2 linked regions of the Bombyx mori genome follow. The protein of the gene in region 2 purifies or fractionates together with the protein of the main gene of each other region. This does not show direct contact. Links are inferred from orthologs where the notes say so. Each region holds a gene or a part of one and is shown on either strand. Other genes may lie near its edges.

Region 1 (4,121 bases), on a different chromosome or scaffold from region 2:
CTCCCATAAAACCAATTTGGAACTGCCGAACGATTTTGTGAATCAAATTCAATTTCCGGCACGAGGTTTTGTGTATGAGTTCAAGAACGCAAACAACTTGTCCAAAGTAAATTTTTTTTCACTTTTTGAATTGACTATTAAATTTGACTGGTAAATAGAAGCGAATTCAAAGCTAAATAGATCTTTATCCTTAGACCTATATTCTTGTATTTTGAAATGTCTTATTTATGTATATCTTTACGAAGTTGCCGTTTTACAAGGCCATATTATTATGACACATCATGCATGCCTAGAAAAAAATTTAAATTCTAGCAATAAATCATAAATTCAAATTACCTAATCTTATTTATAAAATATGGAATTCTATTTTCAAATTCGGTCATTTGATTAGTGCTTTGTTTTCATCACATTCATGTTAATATAGGTATAGTAAAAATATATGTAATAATGGAATAAGAGTTCCATCGCGGCAACAATGCCGCACAAACAACCCACAACATTAATTATATATGTATGGAGTGAACACTTTGAGTAAGCCTTTCCGGAAATTTGATATAAAATACGAACGCCTAAATCTATACAATCATCAACGACGAATCAGAAGCGATCGTGGAAAATAACGACACTCAAGCTATCGTTGAATTAGCAACAGCTTTTAATGCTAGCATCAATACAATATAGGTTTATTTGCGTCAAATTGGGAAAGTAACAAAACTTGTTATGTAGTTGCTGTACCAATTGAACGATCGCCAACGCGACGAACGCATTAAAATATAAGTTGCGTATACAGTTGCTCGACAGACTCAGAAAGTAAGGGATTTTAAACCGCATTATTACTTGCCAAGAAAAAATTATTATTTTTAATAATTGTAAGCGGTCATCATGTTGATTATACCCTGGTTAAGCAATTAAGCAATGCCCTAAACAAAAACACATCCATAAAAGTCATGGTCAATATTTGATGGTCTAGTGCCGGTATCACACCTTCTGATCAAATGGCAACAGCATTACTGCAGATGTGTGACATGAGGAACTGGACAAAAGTTGAATGCTCGCATAAATAACTATTTGCTATTTGAGATTAATTATGGTAAATCCATTAGGACTTCTTGGAAAGCTTATCATTGTCATGATATATAACCAAATACTTGAAATTGAAAAACTTATTGTGGTTTATATGTGCCTTTTGGGGGAAATCGAGAGAAATTACACTTGATTAAATACCAAACACTTTTTTCTTGAAAAATCAGCTGCTAGCGACATCTTTACCAGATTTCGTGGGCCAGTGTCCTACACTATCACAATTGAAATAGAGTATAGATTAAAAATACCCTCTGCTGGCAACAATACTCAATAGCCAATATTTCATGAGTGTTCTTCCGTCGTCCGCCGGTTTCTATTTTTCAAAAAACAGGATTGAGTCAGTCTTTTGCAACATAAACTTAAGAATAGTGAAACAATGCACGCAGAAACAACATTAACGCTTATACAAATACTTGAGAAGACAGTTTCACCTGGTAAGTAATATGACTAACATCAACATGAACATGGATGGCGTTATAGAAAATAACGTACTTTTGCTACCTATAAACTATGCCATGATTCTGAAATTTATCCGGAAAAACTGTAGAATGGATAAAAAAATGGCATTTCTCAGCAAAAAGCATTTGAATTAAAACGAGACTGTAATTTTATCTAGTATCACCAACCGCAATGCTTACCTGTCATCCAGGAAACTTCTAGTTCAGCTTTCGAACCTCACGATGTCTGTGTTATTAACATTCAATGAAAAAGTGTGCTATAACTTTTGAATTCAATAGCTATTTTAATTCATTGTACATATAAAAAACAAAAAAATAAGTTTAAGGTTAGAAAATAGTGGATATTCTGTAGTATTAAATGAATAGGTAACGATTTTGTACATACATACCCTAATAAGAAAGAAACAATGTGCAACAGGGGCCGTATAAAATATATTTAAACAACATTATTTCAAAGTATAAAAATATTTATTAAGAAATTATAATAAAAGAAGTAGTGGTACTAAATAATCAATTGGTTTTGATGTTCCCTTGGCATGGATGACTTGGATTAGTGATCGTGACTACTCACCATTAGGTGGCCCATATTCTCGCCTGGTTTCAGTGGTAATAAAATACAAAAAAGACCTCACAAATTTGATTCTCTAACACCTTTTGTTTTCATGTGACATATCAGTATACAGACATAGTTAAATTTGGGGTACTTCACTTTGTAAATTATGTACTTAGATTATGGTTATTGCTTACAGATCGAAATGAATTGGAAGCAGCAGTTAGATACCTCGACCATGCTGCCACCACAAATTTCACAACATTCATCAAAATGTTGTCCGATGTCCTTCTCCAAGGTGGTAACAGTCAAGTGGCTAGGATGGCAGCTGGTTTGCAATTGAAAAATCATCTCACTTCTAAAGATCCTACACTTAAACAACAATATCAACAAAGATGGCTGGCTTTGGCAGAAGATGTTCGACTTTATATAAAAGAAAATGTAAGGCAATATTGCAAACAAGAAACAAGTGAAACATTGAAAAATTCACTAATAAGTTACTTAATAATAAAAATATATATAATATTATCTCTAAGCTAAATTGCTCAATTATTGTCTAAATAGCAATTCCCTGTATGTCTTACTTAGATTAAAATTAAAATTAGTAATAAATATAATTTAACACAACACTAATAAATACAAACACACAAGACATCTAAAACGTAATTACGCCACCCATCTTGAGATACAAGTTCTAAGGTCTCAGGTATAGTTATAGTATAGAGCTTGAACTAATGAAGGTGGAGAATCTGATAAGTTCCATCAGGTGTAGGTAACCAAGTTATATTTAATTTTAATACTAGTTTCTTTTTTAGATATTAGCTGCTATAGGAACAGAGAATAGTCGTCCAAGTTCAGCAGCACAGTGTGTGGCGTATGTGGCAGTAGCTGAGCTCCCAGTAGGACAATGGAATGATCTAATACCAATTCTTGTAGAAAATGTTGTTCATGTCCAATCTACTGAACTCAAAAAGGAAGCGACTTTGGAGGCTATTGGTAACTGAATGAACATTTGATAGTTAAAAGAGCTATGACAAATTATGTTATATAAATAAACAAAAAAAAAATTACAGTTTTAATTGTGCTTTATAACTAAAGGCAAATTGCTATTAATCTCTTTAACAATACTGATGTATTTCTTATTCTTCTAGGCTACATTTGTCAGGATATTGATGCTGAAGTATTAACAGAAAGAAGTAATCAAATTCTTACGGCCATCATACATGGCATGAGGTCAACTGAACCCAGTAATCATGTTCGACTAGCTGCTACTCAAGCTTTGCTCAACTCTCTAGAATTCACCAGAGCGAACTTTGAAAAAGAAAATGAAAGAAACTTTATTATGGAGGTTGTCTGTGAAGCCACACAGTCTAGTGACATGAGAATCAGCGTTGCTGCTTTGCAATGCTTAGTAAGTTTTATAAATATATAATGTGAATCCAAGTATTATATTTAAAATTAAAATAAAATACCACCTTAGCTACCACATTAGCTTTCTTCCCATGAAAGTAGAAAAAATTATATACCTCAGGAATATTACTTTTTTGTGGATAGTATCCTTTTATGTCCTTTTCTGTACTCTTGACAGCATTTATGTAAAATTTCATAATTAATGATTGATTAGTTAGATATGAAAGTGTATGAATTACAATTTATATTAATATTACATTTACTCAGTTATAAATTTATAATATTAACATGAATAACAAAGCTAAGACTTATTTTTTGGGATACCAGCTATTGACATGATTAAATTTAAACAATTACTGTATTAATTAATTTAAAAAATAGTTTTTAATCAAACAAAATTATCTTCAGGTGAAAATTTTATCACTTTATTATCAACATATGGAACCTTACATGGGACAAGCTCTATTCCCCATAACACTTGAGGCTATGAAATCTGATATTGATGAGATTTCATTACAAGGTATTGAATTCTGGTCCAATGTGAGCGATGAGGAAATAGATCTCGCAATTGAAGAAGCTGAAGCAGTTGAAGCAGGTATGAAAGTGATACTTCTATTCTC
Region 2 (3,500 bases):
CAACGCGTGTCCCACGTCCCATAAGGAGGTAATTTGATAAAATAAGGGGGGCACTAAATAAATATAGAAAATGTATATTAAAATTATTTTGACTATGAATTTCAGTTTTTTATTATATGTTTTAAAATACTACTTACAGTGTGTTTTGATAACCATTTCATAGTGATTTTTTCTTAAAACCTATCATTTATGTTCCTAAAGTAAACAAAACAATTTTTTAATGTTTAAAAATGATGTATGGGGGACATAAAAATTTTAGAAATGTTACAGCGGGGCATGGTGCAAAAAAAAGTTGGGAAACACTGATTTAAGAGATGGTAGTAGAATAGTTTGTTCATTGTGTTCCGATACAGTCCTTACTAGTAGTACTTACTTACTTAGTAAGTAATTATATTTATACTAGCTGACCCGGGAGACTTCGTATTGCCTTAATCGATAAATAAAAGACCTAAACTTTTGTATAAAATAAACTTAAAACAAACCAAAGGAATCTGTCCGACGGGGAACACATCAAAGAGAAAACAAAATTGTTATTTTTATTTAATTCCGAGCATTTTCATATTTATCTACCTTTTAAACCTTCTCTGGACTTCCACAAATAATTCAAGACCAAAATTAGCCAAATCGGTTCAGCCGTTCTCGAGTTTTAGCGAGACTAACGAACAGCAATTCATTTTTATATATATAGGTTATACTGAGTAATAACACTTGGAAACAATTTTTGTTTCGTCGAAGAGACTTTTCTGACAGAGTCCCTATATATTCAGTTTGTGGGACGATCTGTATATTATTATGTAAAGTGAACTTGGAAATGTCGTTGGCGCGATTCAGGTTACTCCGGTTTCGGTCCACATCTGTCATCACAGTTTGTTATAAAGCAAACTATCTAAATGTAGCCACGACCTCATTGTATTTGAAGGCCACATTCACACTGAAATGTCGAGGTGGGTAATGACAGTTACTTTAGTGAGGTCAACAGGCTGTGGTGCTAGATGAGCCATGACCTCTTCTTCTTCCTATTCGTACACTCTGGTGAGTGTGGTCGTGGTCATGCATCAGTCGGATCCTGCGATACCGATGATTTCGCGATGCGACGCCATGTGGCACGATGTTTCGCAGAGTGAGGCCAATCATTTATGTTGCTGTGAGTCACAAATTTTATGAGGTCTGAGAGTCTGAGGTATGAGCCATGACCCGGTCCACCCAAACAAAAACAACTTACATTCATCATCGCTGCCCTCCCCATCGCTGAGCTCTGCTGAAGCACCGAGCTTATCTTTCAGGCTCTTCTTGTTGGCCGCATTGCCCAAGCTGTTCCCTGTAAAATTAAAAATGTTCTAAACAGATCGTACTTAATGAAGTAGTCACTACTTAGTAGTGTGTTAAAGAAATCAGGACTCTTTCGTTATGGCAGTAGATGCCGGACAAGTTTACAGATGTGAATGTTATAGATATCACGAAGCATCAAGTTTTTTATTTTTATTGCTTATATGGATGGACGAGCTCATAACCCTCCTGGTGTTAAGTGGTTACTGGAGCCCACAGACATCTACAACGTAAATGCGCCACCCACCTTGAGATATGAGTTCTAATGTCTCAGTATAGTTACAACGGCTGCCCCACCCTGCAAACCGAAACGTATTACTGCTTCACGGCAGAAATAGGCAGGTTGGCGGAACCATCCAGTACGGACTACGGACCAGTAAAAGTAATTGAGCAATGACCAGCCAGATCATATACCAATCATCAAGATGGGTTAGTACGGAGATGAAAATAATACTGACCTGCCAAAACTATCCGGCTGAGTCTTTCCTGGCTGTCGGGCTGCTCAGTGATGGCATCTACCAGCTCCATGCACGCCTCTCGTCCGATCTCGTTGTGACTGAGGTCCAGAGACTATAGTAAAGGCACAGAAATTTTTATCTGCTAATAATATTTATCTCAAAAGTAGTTAGTTTAACATATATTTGTCTGAGTTGCTCTTAAAACCACAGATTCGCGTATGGAAAGACCGACCAAATTTATTTGCATTTAGATTTAGCAATTTTTTCTCTCTAACCACCTGTCATTTTTGTAAATACTTTGACATTGGCAAAATCAATGCCAAAGGCGTTGAAGCCAAATTATTTATAAAAAAAAGGCAGAGAACAGTTGAAGTCGTCGTGGCTTACAGGATAAGAGAAGGCGGGTGCACTCATATTGAACCAGGGTTCGAATCCCGCAGGTACCAATTTTTTTCGCTCGATATGAATGCACCGGACGTGTTATCATTTAGGCCACGACAACTTATGTCAACAGTGTTTCCAGGGATGTTATCTACCATGTACCATCTGAATTTGGAATGAAGTCCCCTCCACTGTTTCCCAAAACATTCTGTCATGTCCTTCTTCAAACGAGGTTTGTAGAGGGTCCTAAACGATAGGCAGCGGCTTGGCTCTGCCCCTGGCATTGCTGAAGTCCATGGGCGACGGTAACCAGTCACCATCAATTGGGCTGTATACTCGTCTGCTTACAAAAGCAATAAGATAAATAGTGATTGCAGAGCTGGTACGTGTGAGAAATGCAAATGATTGTTATATAATTTAATATATATACATACGTACCTCTAATAGCAATGAGTTTCCCTTGAAAGCTTTAGCCAAAGCTCTTGCTCCTCTGCTCTTCAGGAGGCAATCACCAAAGTTAATACTTTTAAGATTCTTTAATCTGTAACAAACAACTTTTAATGCTGTAATGGAATAAGAAAATGGTCTGTAGCGGTGACTCTGGGTGCATAGAAAAACCAATCTTACATATAAGTTTTAAAATAACATTCGGACTGTCTATTTACAGAGCTTGATGATCTGAAGTGGACCGTTAATAAACATGACAATTCCAAACTTAAATTCAACTCAACAGTTTGTAGAAAATTGCATTTTTATAGTATTGGAACGTCAATGGTTAAACAGACTTATTGTGTAATTGACATGTTACCGAACACATAGGCTTAAGTTTGTAATCTATACTATTATAATAATATTATAAAGAGGAAAGATTTGTTTGTTTGTTTGTTTGTTTATTTGTTTGTATTGAATAGGCTCCGAAACTACTGAACCGATTTCAAAAATTCTTTCACTGTTTGGAAGCTACACTATTACCGAGTGACATAGGCTATAATCTTTTTGAAAAAAAAATAGGAATCCTTACTAAAACTCCAATAATGTAACCCAAGGTGTAAAAAAATTACCTAAAATATTCTTTACATCGCGTGCCCTGCGAAAACCATTGATGATAGAATAAAATAATGTCCTACGACTTTGTAGAACACATTATTATTCACAAAAAGTGTCCCAACAGCATATGTCTAACTATTATAGTTAAGCCGCAATGTGGCGGGTAGCCATCATACAACGCAAGATAATTGACAGATGCCTGAATCTCGCTTACGACATTTTCAAGATAAAGCGCATATATACAAGTTATAGTTATAGTTATAGTTGTGGTTTTCACTATAAATACGA

What was found.
Region 1: the proteins of ran GTPase-activating protein 1 (region 2) and importin subunit beta-1 purify together in Homo sapiens (affinity purification with mass spectrometry; 3 studies listed by BioGRID and IntAct, with this or other methods). This does not show direct contact. The link is inferred for Bombyx mori from reciprocal best matches to the Homo sapiens genes RANGAP1 and KPNB1.

What each region holds. Positions count from the first base shown.
Region 1 is NC_085110.1:11,420,956-11,425,076, forward strand, and holds the start of importin subunit beta-1, read left to right. Parts: upstream 1-1,321; 5' UTR 1,322-1,459; coding exon 1,460-1,517; intron 1,518-2,290; coding exon 2,291-2,532; intron 2,533-2,906; coding exon 2,907-3,087; intron 3,088-3,242; coding exon 3,243-3,502; intron 3,503-3,909; coding exon 3,910-4,096; intron 4,097-4,121.
Region 2 is NC_085117.1:343,116-346,615, forward strand, and holds part of ran GTPase-activating protein 1, read right to left. Parts: intron 2,707-3,500; coding exon 2,604-2,706; intron 1,897-2,603; coding exon 1,785-1,896; intron 1,319-1,784; coding exon 1,223-1,318; intron 1-1,222. UniProt on the Homo sapiens protein: GTPase activator for RAN. Converts cytoplasmic GTP-bound RAN to GDP-bound RAN, which is essential for RAN-mediated nuclear import and export. Mediates dissociation of cargo from nuclear export complexes containing XPO1, RAN and RANBP2 after nuclear export.